Caenorhabditis elegans: one gene and its partner. The protein of the gene in region 2 interacts with the protein of the main gene of each other region in a pairwise test. Each region holds a gene or a part of one and is shown on either strand. Other genes may lie near its edges.

The links.
Region 1: the proteins of bli-4 (region 2) and ttm-1 interact in a two-hybrid assay, tested with the Caenorhabditis elegans proteins (one large-scale study listed by BioGRID).

What each region holds. Positions count from the first base shown.
Region 1 is NC_003281.10:12,953,042-12,960,959, forward strand, and holds the start of ttm-1 (Zinc transporter ttm-1), read right to left. Parts: upstream 4,131-7,918; 5' UTR 3,972-4,130; coding exon 3,681-3,971; intron 2,293-3,680; coding exon 1,500-2,292; intron 313-1,499; coding exon 164-312; 3' UTR 1-163. UniProt on the Caenorhabditis elegans protein: Promotes excretion of zinc from intestinal cells into the intestinal lumen in response to increased dietary zinc. Involved in cadmium resistance, possibly by promoting its transport from cells.
Region 2 is NC_003279.8:6,338,603-6,346,520, reverse strand, and holds the start of bli-4 (Endoprotease bli-4), read right to left. Parts: upstream 4,297-7,918; 5' UTR 4,161-4,296; intron 4,113-4,160; 5' UTR 4,085-4,112; coding exon 4,004-4,084; intron 3,960-4,003; coding exon 3,672-3,959; intron 3,565-3,671; coding exon 3,421-3,564; intron 3,361-3,420; coding exon 3,155-3,360; intron 3,100-3,154; coding exon 2,782-3,099; intron 2,737-2,781; coding exon 2,656-2,736; intron 2,547-2,655; coding exon 2,370-2,546; intron 2,319-2,369; coding exon 2,091-2,318; intron 2,045-2,090; coding exon 1,935-2,044; intron 1,883-1,934; coding exon 1,676-1,882; intron 1,096-1,675; coding exon 965-1,095; coding exon of another isoform or gene 935-964; exon of another isoform or gene 1-934. UniProt on the Caenorhabditis elegans protein: Serine endoprotease which cleaves proproteins at paired basic amino acids at the consensus RX(K/R)R motif. Involved in N-terminal processing of cuticle collagens and plays a role in cuticle biosynthesis.

The DNA of each region.
Region 1 (7,918 bases), on a different chromosome or scaffold from region 2:
TCTGGATGTGCCAAATGAATACAACCCGTGTGAGTAGGTCAAAAAACTGACAGGAAAAGTCGAGAAAAGTAAACGTTTTGAAAAAAATGAAATTGATTGGAAAAAAAAAACGTAGAAGTTTGCCCGTATCGTAATAGATTAGAAGAACGATGGAGGACTGGAATCAAGCAGTTTCCTGTTGTTGACACGTGTCACAGGAATCGATTTTCTCGTCGAACGGCTCCACTTGGACAGTGGCGACGGCAACTCCGAATCGCCGGCGGATCAGGGAACGGGCTTCGGCAACATTTTCCATGGCGCGGTTAGGAGATTCTGGAATATTGGAAGAGTTAGAAAAATATATTTTTATTAAATATTAAAATTCAATATCATGAAAGGCAGCACTTTTCCCTTGCAGAACATTCCAGGAAATTTCCAGAAAACTTTGAATTTCCCGCCAAAATTGTTTCTCAAAAAATTTGAATTTCCCTTCAAAATTCTCATTTAAAAATTTGAATTTCCCACCAAAAATCATTGGAAAAAATTGAATTTTTTTGCCAATTTTTTTAGAGCACATCTGAATTTTTTTTCAAAAGTTTCATTTAAAAAATTTGAATTTCTCGCCAAAACTGTTATTGAAAATTTTGAATTTATCTTCAAAACTTCAATAGCACGTGGTGTCAGGCTGTCTCATTGCGGCTTGATCTACTACAAATGCGGGAATATTTTTACAGAAAAATTGTCAGCACGCTCTTAACCATGCGAAGTCAGATGAGATGTATGCGTCTCAACTCCCGCATTTTTTGAAGATCAAATCGAAATAAGACATTCTGACCCCACGTGCAACAGAGAGACAATTTGAATTTCCTGCCAAAAAATTTTTAAAGGAAAACTCGATTTCCCGGCAAATTTTTCGAAAGAAAATTGTTTGAATTCCCGCCAAAAATTTTATAGCCAAAGTTTGAATTTGCCGCCAAAACTAACAGTTTAAAATTTTGAATTTCCCGCCAAAATTCCTATAAAAAATGTTCGAATTTCCCGTTAAAAATTATTCTCAGAAGATTTAAATTTCCTCCAAAATCTTTATATCAAAACTTTGAATTTCCCGCCAAAAATTATTCAGAAAATTTAAATTTCATTCAAAGTTTTTCAGAGAAAATTTGAAATTTTTAAAATCCAATTTTTGCTCTAAATTGAATTTCCCTTCAAAATTTTCATTTAAAATTTTGAATTTCCGGCCAAAAATTGATTGAATAAATTTGCATTTATATCCACAATATATATTTAAATTATTTGAATTTCCCGGTAGAAACTTCAATGGAAAAATTTGAATTCCCCGCCAAAATTATTTTTTAAAAATTTGAAATTCCCGGCAAACATTTTTAAAAGTAAATTTGAATTCCCGCCAAAATAACTATTGAAAAATTTGAATTCCCGCCAAAATCTTTATTGAAAAATTTCAATTTTCCGCCAAAATTTTCTCAGTTTTACTCAAAACTCCAAAATGAGAAGCCACTCACCAAGTGCCAAATGCACCGAAAACGCAGTCTTATCCATTCCAATAGACCATAAATGCAAATCATGAACACCTTTTACACCTTCCAACGCACTCAACGCCTTCTTCACATCACTCAAGTCATAGTGGCTCGGTGTGGCTTCCATCAAAACGAAAAAGATGTCCCGCATAACTGTAACCGTCGTGAAGAGCACGATAATCGAGAAAAGGAATGTGCAAATCGGATCGGCAAGTGTCCATCCGGTAAACCTAATGATAAGGGCAGCAATCAGGACTCCAATGGATTGCACCAAATCTCCAATGACATGAATCAGAGCAGCTCTAACATTCACATTCTTTCCATCATGAGCATGTCCATGACTTGAGTGTCCTCCATGAGTGTGCCCATGACCTCCAGTTCCGAAGTGCAACACCAATCCCATAACGATATTAAAAAGGACTCCGACGCCCGCGGTGATGAGCATCACATCAGCATCCACCTCATGCTCATTGTTCACAATTCGCTGAATAGCGACGACGACGAGCACTGTCGTGAGCACCCAGAGAATGATCACAGACGTCAGAGCACCAAGAACTTCGGCTCGCTCGTAACCGAATGAAAGACGCTTCGATGCGGGAAGACGTGCACAACGAATCGCAAAAATTGAGATGATGAATGAGAGAAGATCACTGAGCATGTGTCCGGCGTCTGTCATAATTGCTAGCGATTGAGCCCAGAATCCACCGACGAACTCGGCGGCGATGAAGACTGCGGATAGTGCTGCAACTGCCCATAGCACTTTTTCTGCTCGGCGACCCTGGAAACGAGAAATATTAGTTGGAAAATCCAAACAAAAAATTTTATGTCCATTTTTTTTTTGGCGAAAAAATGTTTTTTTTTAAAGTTATACACTGTGTTTTTAAAAAAATTACTACTAAAATTGTGCGGTAACACTGAATTCTGAGAATGCATGTGGTGCCAGGCTGTCTGTCCCATTACGGTTTGATCTACAAAAAATGCGGGAATATTTTGCCCAAAAAATGTGACGTCAGCACGAACTCTGCGTCTCTTCTCCCGCATTTTTTGTAGATCTACGTAGATAAAGCCGAAATGAGACATTCTGACATCACGTGAGACTGCGTATTGCACAACATATCTGACGCGCAAAATATCTCGTAGTAATTCAGTAATTCAATAAATTACTACTTTAGCGCAGTTTTTCTTTGCTTTTTCGTATTATCTTTGTTTTCATTCTTTGCTTAATTTTGATATTATATCGATAAATCTATGAACATAGAGCCGCGTAAATCGACACTACAGTAGTCATTCAAAGAATTACTGTAGTTTTCGCGTCGAAATATTTTGCGCGTCAAATAATGTTTTGATTTTTTCAGAAAAATATTCAAATGTATAAATTCTTGTCATATTTTTTGCGTTTTTTTTTCGCATTTTTGTCAAAAAAACGTCCCGCTAACTGAAAAATGCCTTGATTTTTATATATTTCAAATAAAATTGCAATTTTTCAAGAACATTTTCAGGGAAACTAATTTAAATTTGGAAAAAAAATCAGTTATTGAAATTTTCGACACTTTTCCAATATTTTTCAACATTTTAGGATGAAATATTCAATTCACAGGAAGTCGTCGTATTGCTAGATATTTGTGGGCGGCAAACGATTTTTTCCGGCAAATCGCCAAATTGCCGGAATTGAAAATTTTTGGCAAATCGGCAAATCGACAAATTGCCGGAATTGAAATTTCCGGCAAATCGACAAATTGCCGGAATTGAAAATTTCCGGCAAATCGACAAATTGCCGAAATTGAACATTTCTGGCAAATCGACAAATTGCCGGCAAATCGGCAAATCGACAAATTGCCGGAATTGAAAATTGCCGGCAAATCGGCGAATTGCCGGAATTGGAAATTTCCGACAAATCGTCAAATTACCGGAATTGAAAATTTCCGGCAAATCGGCAAATTGCCGGAGTTGAAAATTTCCTCTGATATGTATAATTGCGAGCTCGTGTTTTGGCTTGATTTTAAAAAAAACACATTTTTATGCTAAAATGGTCGATTTTGGGCTTTTTACATAGATAGCAATAATTAAAATTAAAAGCAACATTTTTTGAAAAATTTAGTTTTAATATAATGGTCATTTTAATAGAGGTAAAAGTTGAGCCATGTTGCAAAAAAATTTGCTATGTACCTTTTGATATTTCTCATCATGACTATGCTTATGCGCTCCTCCTCCTGCTCCACTACAATCCGAAGAGGAATCATCATTATTGTGTGTGTGTGAGTGCCCATGACCCCCATGAGAGTGCCCATGCCCATGACCGTGATGATGGTGGTCAATAGAGTCGGCAGATACTCCAGAATCCGAAGAGGACACCGACTGGGTGTCCTCTTCGATGTTGGCGGGCAGGTTGGATGAGGAAGAGTCACGTTTGTCACTGGATAGGCGGATTGATGACGGAGATATCATTGAGATTGTCATAGTTCTAGAGATTTCAAAAAATATATTTAACGGGAATTAAGAGAAATGAGTACGGCACGTGTATGTGTGTCAGGCTGTCCCATCAAGGTTTGATCTACCAAAAATTCCCGCAATTTTTGTAGATTTTCGTAGATCAAAACGACGTGGGACACTCTGACAAGAGCAGCGAAATTTCAAAATGAAAAACTTAGTTACTTAGTTCCGCGATTTTTTTTGTTGTCCCCTTTCAAAGAACAACACAAAGACTGGGGAGCGGTGGAATGCGTTTTGACAAACAAATAAACAAGACAAAAATGGGGTGAAAAAAGAGAATAAGGAACACAATAAACAGGAGAATAGGAAAAGGAAATGGAGAACAAAATTGAATATGGGAAAACGTTCTGGCTGATAGGAAAAAAAGGAAAAAAATTGAGTGGGAAGGAAGGTCGCAAGATTTTTTTATGCAAATTTTTAAAAATCAAAGATCTTTCGAGTCATGCAGGAATTTGTTTTTTTTTTGGATATGAAGCTCCAAGAGCTCCGCGAGCCAGCTTACTTTTGGACGTATTTCAATAGAAATACATTTTTTTCTAAAATTAGATTCTTATGAAAAAGTTAGTACTTTGAATTGAAAAATTCGAAGGTTTTCAGTGCATTTTTTAAAGTTTCAAAGCCAGTGAAATTTCGTGAATATTTTCAAAATCTGTATTTTTTTGGATTTTTTTCCAAAAAATTTTTTTTTAATTTTCAGTTATTTTTCAAAAAATACCGACTTAAATGCCAGATTTTTTTTCTTCAAATTTCATCGTTTAATTCAAAAAAAATCCGGCAATTTTTAGATTAAAAAGAATAGAAAAAAAAATATTTTTTGCCTTAAAAAAGTTTAGAAAATTTTCAAAAAATCGAAAAATTTTATATTTTATTTTTCAAAAATACAATTTCTGAAAAAAACCTCAAGTGGTTCTTAAATTAGGTAAACATTTAATTTTAAGCTTCTACAACTTTTATGAAAAAAATTTTGACATAAAATTTTCAAAAAAAAATCAGTTTTAACAAGATAAAAAGAAATTAGCTTGAAAACTCCGCTTTGCACAAATTTTTAAGTTTTTTGGAAAAAAATTCCAGGAAAAAGTTATATGAAAAACCAAAAAATTCATGCCAAAAGTTCAAAAAAGCAAAAAAGCAAACAAATTCTTACAAAAAATTGGAAACTTTTCAACAGAAAAAAAAACTTCAAAAAAAATTCTTATTGCTTTCTGCAAAGCAATAAGAATTGCAAGACTGAAAATGTGAGGCATTCAAAAAAAATTCACAAGCGCATAATAAGAAACACGAGGAGAGAGATTATAGATAGTCAATGAAGGAAAAGCAGAAGAAGAACCAGATTGTATTTCCTGCCATCAAGCATCTATCTATCTAGCAAAAACGAGAGACTTGCAAGTGAAAAGTGAAGGAAAAAAAAAACGATTTTGATCTACCTCCCTGTAAACGAGGCGAAAGTGTAAAAATTATTGTTAAGCTACTGGGAATTTAATTAATTTTAATTTACAGACTTTGGCAGACTTCTAGAAAATAAAAAGGTGAAACAAAACTTTGGTCAAGATCGTTTGATGTGCCGTTTATGTAGGCGAGAGATGGACATAAGACTGCCTCTAAATGGTCTTCTGAATTCAAAAAGACACAAATTCTATGTCTTGAACTTCAAAAAATAAGTTGAGAAAATGTAAAGATCAAGTATTTTGTGTTTTCATCCATCAAAAATCCTTCAAAAATCTCAGAAAAAAGTTGTTGAAAATTTGAATTTTTTGGGGTCGAATTTCCGGTATTCTCTACTTTTTGGCTACATTATTATTTTTTCGACAAACTCCCAGAAAAGTTGTGGAAACTAGGGAGGAACTACAAAAAAAAAGGTACAAATTTTCAGGGCTTGAATTGAACTTTTTCAAACTAGTTGGGGAAAGAAGGAGTCAACAAAATAATTAGTGATTTTTTAGAACTCATCAGAATTTTTACAAAAACATTTTACTTAGGCTTAAGATGAGGCTAATGCTTAGGCTTAGGCGTAGGCCTAGGCTTAGGCTTAAGCTTCAAATTAATTTGTGTTCAAAAATTGTGATCTACAAGATTCTTAGGAAAAAAATAAGAATCCTTTAAAAAAATCATCTTCTGATCGCTTGATCTCTGATTTTAATACAATTTATATATAAAAAAAATATTATTAGATGCCCTTTAAAAGGCTCATGTGATAACATAAGTAGCAACAATATCACGTGGAAAAATATTAGGTAATTTAAAAATATTTTCTAGAGAACTGAAGAAAGCAATAAAAGTGCAGAAAATGTGAAACGGAAATTGTTTCGAAAAAAGACAAAAAAAGAAAGAAAAAAAGGAGGCCGAGATGATTTACACACCTCCCACACATATGAGAAACTAGTTTTTTTTTGTTGGAAAAATGATAGAGTTGAGACAAAAAAAAAGAGAGATCAAGTAAAGTGAAAAGGACGTAATGTGAACCGAACTCTTTATCAGTATAGGTGTCTTAAAAAAGTGTCAGCATTTTCGTGATTAAATGTCGGGGCTTTTTCATAAAATTTATATACATGTCGACGGAGGAGGAGGAGGAGTGAAAGTGTGATAAGGGGGAGACGTCATTCTAGTTTGTGATACAGTTTCGTGAAATGTATTCCGGAGAAGTACTGCAATTAGAAATGACCTTATTAGGAGTGTGCGGCAATTGTGGCGAATTTGCCGCAAACACCTCAAATTGGATTTTAAAAAATTGACCGAAACTATTGATTTTGTTCAAAAAATTATAGTAAAAAAACATAAAATTGAGGTATTCAAAAATTAAACTTGTGCTAAGAATTTAGTAATTTTGGAGCTCCTAGAAATATCATTAAAACTTTTTAAAATTTTTTTTTGGAGTTTGCCGAGCTGGGCAAATTTTGACTCCTTATGATGGCTCAAAGAGCTTCAAAATTTAAAAATCTTGCCAAGGTCAGCGAGTTCACTCACAAAACTTATAGGATTAGTGAAAGGTTACTGTAAGAGCGCTTAGTAACGTAACCTGTGCAAAAAGATCTACTTTTAGCCACAGCGACCATGTCGTATTTTCTATATTAGTCTCGCACTTAAAGGTGCTTTAGTCAATTTTTTAAAAATTGCTTTATTAGACTCTATATTGTTTGAAAACACGAAATTTCATAATTAAACTTCTTTAAAACTTCTCAAAAAAAAGGTTATGGCGGCTCAAAAAATGACTTAAAATAGGTTAAAATTTGAAATTTGACAGACTTGTCAAGCGGCTGGAAACTATTTTTTTTTGAAATCACCGTCTAATTTTAGGTATGGAAATCAATTATTTTTCTTTTTCAACTCAACTTGAGTACAATTAAGGTCGAAGGATCACCAGATTTGGTAACTTGCGACATAGACAAGTTGGTCAAATTTCAAAATTCAACTAATTTGAGGTCATTTTTTGAGCCGCCATAACTTTTTTTAAAACTTTTTTCAGCATTTTTCAAAAAGTTTCATTATCAAATTCGGTGTTTTCTGACAATTTTGAGTCTAATAAACTTTACTGATATCTCAACCAATTAAAACTTTTTACTAAACAAAAATTAATAATAAAAACTTGGCAATTTTTGATCATTCCTAGGACCGCCAAGATGAATTTATGGGTTGCACTACTATTCGAGGAAGTATGGTATACTATCGACTACTGTAGTTTCGAGAGCATCAGGAACCTTCTCTTACAGAAAATATTTGATAATTCCTAGAACCGCCAAGATATGAGCTACGGGTAAAATACGGTATATTATCAGTTGCTGTAAGGTCACGTGTCGCCTGTTCCGGTGAGAACATCAAGTTCAAATGCACAACGAGTAAGTTATTAAAACAAACAAATAGAAAAAAACACATGTCACTTGAACTTCTGACTCAGCATGATTTCATCAAAAATCGTTCAT
Region 2 (7,918 bases):
AATGAAATTTCAAAAATCAAATGGAAAATTTAGAAACTCTAAATAATTGAATCTAATAGCAAACAATAAATTGAATTGCGCAACTCTACCGTATTCTAAATTCTATCAACAAAAATCTGATTAGATCGGTGTGAAAACAGAGGGAGTGAAGTTAGAGATGTGTTTTATGAAAAAGATCTGAGACAAACTGAATATAGTGTTCGAATTATGCAAATTCTTTGACAAAATGCATGGATTGAACAATATTCAAACTTGTTCCAAATCAACACGTAGAACTTAACCAATCAGGGTAAGAGAGGTGCAAAGGGAAATAAATTGGGAAACAAAAAATTTGTTGAAAAAGAATTTTGAAAAAATGGAAATTTTATTAGATTTAAAAAAACTATGTGGGAGTAGTTGTCGCTTCACTGCAGAAAACAATGTGGACGTCTAGTTGAACAAAGAAATTAAAGAAATAAAGAAATAAATATAACTGTTAATCAATTCTCTTTTTAATTAAAAAGTTGATTCACATCACAATAACAACAAGAACATAGACGAAGACGAGTTCACAAGAAACATTAAAAAGTCAGCGACACATTTACATAGAGACATACAGATACATACACAAGGAAATTATGAATAGAAACATGAATAAACTGAAAATTGTGGCAGAGGTAAGGACGATGAATAATTATGAGAAAATTAGGCATTTTGTTGATTTTTTCAATTTTTCAATTTGAAAATTGATTATCACACCAGGCTCACACACTCGCAAGCACACACACTCTGTGGGTTGGGAATTTTCAAAATTAAAACACAACTATCACCGAAACCAAATTAGATAGAAAGTGAGAAGAGGGGAAGGGTAAATCAGTTTGAATTCAAGGGCCCCTAAATATGAAAATAAAAACAAAGGAGACAACACAACACACACACAAAGAACAATATGATTCTATCCGAATCCTCCGAAAAATGTGCGTACCTGAGAAGTGAGTTGATGAACGCGTGAGAGAACTCCTTGGGATGTTGCAGGAGTAGCCGAGTAGACAGGATCACCTGATTGAGCTGGATCAGCAGTTCCATAAAGAAGAAGAGTCCAATCGTGGAACGTACCTGAAATCACCATATATGGTTCAAATATTTATAGGGAAATTTTTCGCTTCAATTTTGAATTTTTTACTATTACCTAGTCACGAAATTTTACGCCAGAAGTATCGAAACCGGTCTCAGCACGACAAATTTTTGTTAACCGCTAAAAATTTGCGTTTTTTTTAAATAAATAAATATGGTCTTATTGAAAAACTATGAAAAAATCAACCAAAATTCAGCAGCAACAAAAGTTTGAACTTACAGTACTCTTCAAAGGCGAACATATTTTTTAAATAGAAATCAGAGCTGTCGTTTTTTTGGGAAAAATGGATTTTTCATTAAAAAAAAAAAGAAAAACGAAAATCCTTCCGTTCGTTCAAATTTTAATGTTTTATGAAAAATTTCCGTTGTGTCCGGTTTAAAATCGAAAATCGATTTTTTTGTTGGTTTTTTCATATATTCGTGTTTTTTGGTCCAAATTTCAAATAAAAAACTTTTTGGTCGAACATTTTTTTTGCAACAGTCCTGATAGAAATAATGCATTTCTTAGCGTATTCTCGATGTGTGTGTGTGTGTGTGTGTATACATTTAAATAAATTCTCACCAGTAGCAGCTGGATTAGTGGTGACTGATTCCACCATGAGAAGCCATGTTCCACGTGGATCTTCTCCCCATTGTTGGACTGAAAGGAAAGGCCACTTGTGGAATCCGTTAGCATTGAAATCTTGTGGTCGTGGTGGAAGAAGAACCGATCGGGTGCCGGATGGTGAGAAGAGCGTAAGCTTCAGATCGCCACGTTTCAGATATCGAACTGAATTCAATTTGATAAGATTTGTAGAGAACAGTATCAATTGAAAACTGACCAGTAGCATGCACTTGAACGTGTTCCAAATATAAAACAGGGGTTCCTGACTCGCATCCATTCACATCTAAAGTGAAATTAAGTTGGAAACGACCCACAATTGGCCGAGGACTGTAATGATCGTATTTTTTCCAGAGAAATCTATGATTGAACCTACTTTGGATTAGCAAGTCTGTATTCATATGTGCAAATGTGCTGCTCTGGGACTGTCTTCCATGTTTTTGCCATATTGACAAGTGCACCACCATCGATTAGACCATAACCGAATTTATTGCTAACCATACGTCCAACACCATTTCTTGACCATCCAGGATTATTCTCAAGTGGTTTCCAGTTGGCGGTTCGAAGAACAAGATGTTGCATATCACGCCATGTTAATTCAGGACTGAAATTAAAAAAAAACAGTGAGCAAGTTTTCTGGAATTAATAAACTAACTTAGCCTCTAAAGCAAGAGCAATAATTCCAGCTGCCAATGGAGCAGACGCAGAAGTTCCTGTATGCTTATCAGTACATCCTCCAGGAACATCAACGGTCACAATTGCTGGTTGACGGAAATCCGCAGAACTGTATGTTGTTGCAATTGATGATGGGCATTCTTCCAAATACCATGGTCTGTAGACAAGTAGAATAAGAATTTGATAGTAGAAAATCCATTTTTTATCTTCAGAATATCAATTTTCATTCAGACAAATTAAGGGTTTATAGTAATATAAAATCATACCTGTGATTATCATAAGTAGCCGAAGATATGGAAAGCGTGTAGACTGAAGTTGTGTAACCATCAGCTGAACATGAGTCTTGCCTAAACATTCTTGTTCACAAAATTCTCTTTTCAAAACTAAAATACCTTGATCCACCGTTTCCACTGGCCCATACAAAAATGTTTCCTTTTCCACCTCTGCCATTCTTGATTCCACGATAAAAAGCTTCTCGGGCAAGTGGACCTGGACCATCAAAAGTCTTTCCGTCGTCTTCAGGTCCCCATGATGCTGAGTATATATCAATATGATCTTGATTCAAAGACAATGACGCAGCTTCGACAGAATCCGAAACAGCTCCATCAAGCATACGAACTCCTCCTATTTTTGCTTTGAAGGCAACACCGACACCACATTGATTGTTTCCGGCGAGTGCAGCTACTTCTCCAGCACATCTTGTACCATGTCTAAAACAATTAAATGTCATAAATTTCTGAAGAACATGTGTTTAAAAATTCTTACTTGTTATCTCCATTGTTTTGTGGTGTTGGATCATCATCGTGATCATTGATATCTGTTGACGCGAGTGGATCGTAGTTCGCTGCCAAATCAGGATGATCTCTTTGAATTCCATCGTCAAGAATCGAAACTGAAACATTTCTGCCTGCATATCCTTGAAGCCACGCTTGACGAACATTCATATCATATCCACCAACTGCTCCACCATGCTGTAAATGTATCAGTTGGTTTTTTTTTCTCTTTAAAGAAAATTTGAATTTGAAACTCACCAAATACCACTGGTCTTTATAAAGTGGATCAGGAAATGGAAGTGATGGAATTTCTCGTGGAGACTGTGGCTGCTGTCGTTGAGCTCTACGAGTACCATCACGGTTCAAAACCGAACGGCGGAAGGGGTTAGAATGATGAACATCCTGAAAAATATTAATTGTCAGAAAAAACTCTAAAGCTAAGATAAAAAGAAAAACGGTAATGATTCTGGATAAATATCATGTAGGTTGAATATTTCTAAAAAACTAACATTATCCAGGAGAATATAATCTCTTTTGACTCTCTTCTTCGGTCGCTGTTCTTCAACCCATTCGACGGCTGGATGTGAATCCAATCGTTCAACAATCGCTCTTTTATGTCGCCGTGTCCTTGTTGTTTCCGAGTGATAAAGGAAGTAGTGAGTATCCAAAAACGGATCACCTTTTACATGCATGTCATGATCAGCAGCTATTCGCCGTGCAAGCTCATCATCTCTTTTTGCTAAACGTATTACGGTATGTATTGGTTCCCCACAGGCACCTATACTTTCATCGCAAATCTGAAAAGTATAATAAGTATTTTAGAGTTGATTGAATAACTTACGGAATCATGTTCAATAGTGAATGCAACTGCGATTAAAACTGCCAGAATTTGCCATGCTATCCGGCCTATCGATATACGCATCACGCGTTTGAGAATAAATGTGGATGATCTGAAATTGTAGATTTATAGAATAAATTCACAAATTCAACGAACTCACATGCTCTAATAATAATAATAAATCCGTTTTGGGTGACTGATATGGGTGAGTATTGAAAATGTTCGACGATTCGCTGGGTGCAACGGGTTATTCTTTTTCGTTTATTCTGACATCGACCCGAAGCGAACGTCTGAAAAATAGCCGAATTAATTTGGAAAGCGGTTAAAAAAGAGAATAATAAAGAAAATGACAGTTTTTTCGCGAAAAACAAGAAAAATTAAAATTTCAGAATATTTGTTTAAAATTGGCTATCGGAGGCACTACTAAACTGGGAAAGTCTCATTCGGGGAATAAGCAATTAGATGCATTTAGAGAGATCGATTATAAAAACTGAATACTACAAAAAGAAAAAAGTTTTAAAAATTAAATATGCAATTTTAACGCCGAGAAAATGGAAAAATAAGAAGTTTTCAGAGTTTGAACTCGACAAAAGAGTTTCTACGGAATAAAATACAATTTGCGCACCGTGGTGTTTCACATGAAAATACGCTCTATCGATAAAAACGATACGACCAAAAAATAATTTTTATTTCCGCACAAGAATTGACTTTTCACAAAATCTTAAAAAGAAGTCATAATTTGAAAATAAATTAAGAAACACAATCTATCGTTGACCTCGGTTTTACTTGTTCAGCCTTGTGCTGTGCTGAAAATTAATCTCCAAACCGGTTAAAAGTGTAATATTTCTACCGAAATCGAAAAAAAACCGAGAAATTTCAAGACATAAAGGACAAGTGTAAGAAAATATAAAAATTAGCCTAGTCTGTCTGAGAAAATTGAAAGAAATTGGAGATTTTGATTGGCACTTTTTGTTGTTGCAATTCGATACCGATTTCCTCTGTTTTGTCAGGTAGACTCTATCCTGAGATATCATGAGCCCGATGTAATAGTACTAAAATTTACAACCGTTTTTCGACGAATTGGAGGTCAAGAGTTTTACTCACAAAACTAAAATATAGCCAATGCGCTGCGTTCAGAAGTTCAAAAAAATTCTACTCACACTTTTTTACTGGCAAGATGAGAGAAATTTCTCGAGAAATACAATATGTAGAAACTAGGAACAATTAAAACAAAGTTCAAATAAAAAAGTTAGAAAACGAAAGGTTATTTCATGGGATTTTCACGCTATGGGTCAAACACGATTTATTTATTCGATTGGAAAGTGAGAAGCTTGTGGCGAGAAGAAGAAGATGCTGAAGGCGTGTGAGAGGAAGGAACAATGGAAAGTGAAATCGGACTGAAGGCTTTTCTCAAGAATATGCTATGTCTTCTGACTTGTTCGTGGCGAGACTCAGCAATTGTCGAGGAATGAAAGATTGTTCCGTTAGACTGTTTGCCCATCACAGTCACTCTCTAATAATATTTTCAAAGTTAACTTTAAAAGCACTCTAAATAAATTAGACAGGGAAAATTGACGATGAGGAGCGTTAAAATGCAACATTTTGCCCCATATATACGGTAGCCGGTCTCGAAACGAAAATGTTCTGTTAAATGTGAATGGGTGTGCGCCTTTAAAGAGTACTGTAACCTCGAACTCCTCGTAGCTGCGGAAACTTCATTGATCTTTGATACGGAGTTTTCGATGGAAAACGAATTTAATCTCTACTGAAAAACTAAAATAAACACATGCAATTTTTAGGAATCGGGAGAAAAACTATTGAAACTCAATCAAAACGGCAGAGGTAGAAACTACAGTACTCTTTGAAGACGCATACTCTTTTGCATTTAACACAAATTTGTCTTGTCGGGACCGGATAATCGAGCTTTACCTGAATTTCGATTTTGTGTTACATTATACAGAATCTGAATGAGTTTTAAATTACTAGACGAGTTTACAAATTCTCAAAATTATCAATTGAAACTTCAAGCACCTGACCTAAATAATATGCTTGTAACAGGGACTATGAAAGTGAAATTAGCAAAAGCCATGAAAATTTGCCTCATATTGTTTGTTTCGGTAGACATACATGTAGGTAAAAGGAAGTACGCGCCCTCGTAAGGCATCTCTCTCATTTGGTGCCGAGAGTGCATTCAGTCACAGAAGTTCAGAGAAAAAAAGAATAGTGAACAGAAATACTCTTGTGAGAGTAGTGAGTAGACGGAGATCTCTCTTATTCAATAGAAGAACGGTACACAGTTCGAGGTCAACTTGATCATCATGGTTTCTGTTGGGCGGACGCGAGATGAGAAAATTGAAAAAAAGAAAAGGTAAGAGTAAAGAGAAAGAAACAGATTGCGTCGAGATTTAAATGGGGGAAATACCATGACTAATCTTTACCTCGCTCGCTGAATTTTTAATAGATTAAATAAAAAAACCGGTTATGTTTTTGTCAAAAAATGGGGGATGTTTGGGTTGGCGAGAAAAAAAAGATTGGAATTGGATTTTGGTTTTTTGTCGATCTATCTCGCCAAAAAAGGTTCGCGCCTGAAAACAAAAGTACAACACTAAAAATTTTAAAATTTTAACAACATTATAATACAACTCTCGATGCTTACTACGTGGCCGTGACAAGTACAAACACCGTTATTTTTTCGAAAATTGGCTCGATGGACTTATAGGATCGGGTAAGGATTTTTGTTGGGTTTCTAATGATTTCATAACGTTTTCCCGTTATGAAATCATTAAAAACCCAACAAAAATCCTTGCCCGATGTTTATCTATTTCGAGGAAGCTTAGCATAGAAATAAAAAACACCAGTTTATTAACACATTTTATATAGGTTTTCCCATTTTGGCAGAAAGCATTCGACACAATTTTCATCACGTTACCTAGTTCGAGCTCGATCTAAACTAGAAAAAGTTAACAAAACATTGATCACCAGAAACTGATATTGGCCACCAGTTATACACAGATCACATTAATCAAACTAGACGACTATCATTAAAGATTCACAATTGATTAGGGGGAAAGAAGGAATTTTTGAGATTTATATCTCAAGATTTATTAATAAATAATTATTAATACAGGTTATGATTTTGACTTTTTGAACAAAGTCAATTGGATTTTGATGATTGGTTATTTGGGAAAGTACCTGGTGACATCATAATGGAAGAATAAAGTTTAGGTTGAAAAGTTGTTTTTGAAGTTAAGTAATCTAAGTATGATTTCCAGAAATTGCGGCTAGTATACGCAGTCGAAAATTGAGTCCTCCATAGTGCGACTTCACATGGAATTCACACTTGGAAGTCTGGCACATTTTCTGTAGATCAAAATCGGAAAAGTGCAGATAATCTAAAATTTAGGGCCGAAATAACCTGGAAAGAAACATTATGTAGCACACATGTGACGCCATAGATGACCGTGAAATTTGGATTTCTCAGACAAATTGGAAGAGCTAATGAAATCTCAAGAGCACTTCATTGTGCTCTCTTATCGTAATTGCTTCAAATCTACAGAAATCAGCTGTGTATATCAGAAAAAAGTGGAGAAAAGAAGAGAAAAGTGATAAAATATGCAGTGAATATGACACATACATGCATACGCTTCTCATTTTCTCTAATCCCTCTCAATTCCTTATCATCTCTCGTACAATTCCTCGATTTGGCTGTAAAGCCAACAAAACACACACACAACAAATGTTACTGTGAGGAGGGATAGGAACTGAGTGACAGTAACAGTTTTGAATCAGAAAGAGAAAAAAGAAGAAGCAGTGAGAGATGAAAAAGATGCAAAGAACCTGTTAGATTCAAATCGAAAATGGAGAAGATTGAATGGGATGAAGGATGAAAAAAAAAGAAAAGAAAAAGGAACCGAACCG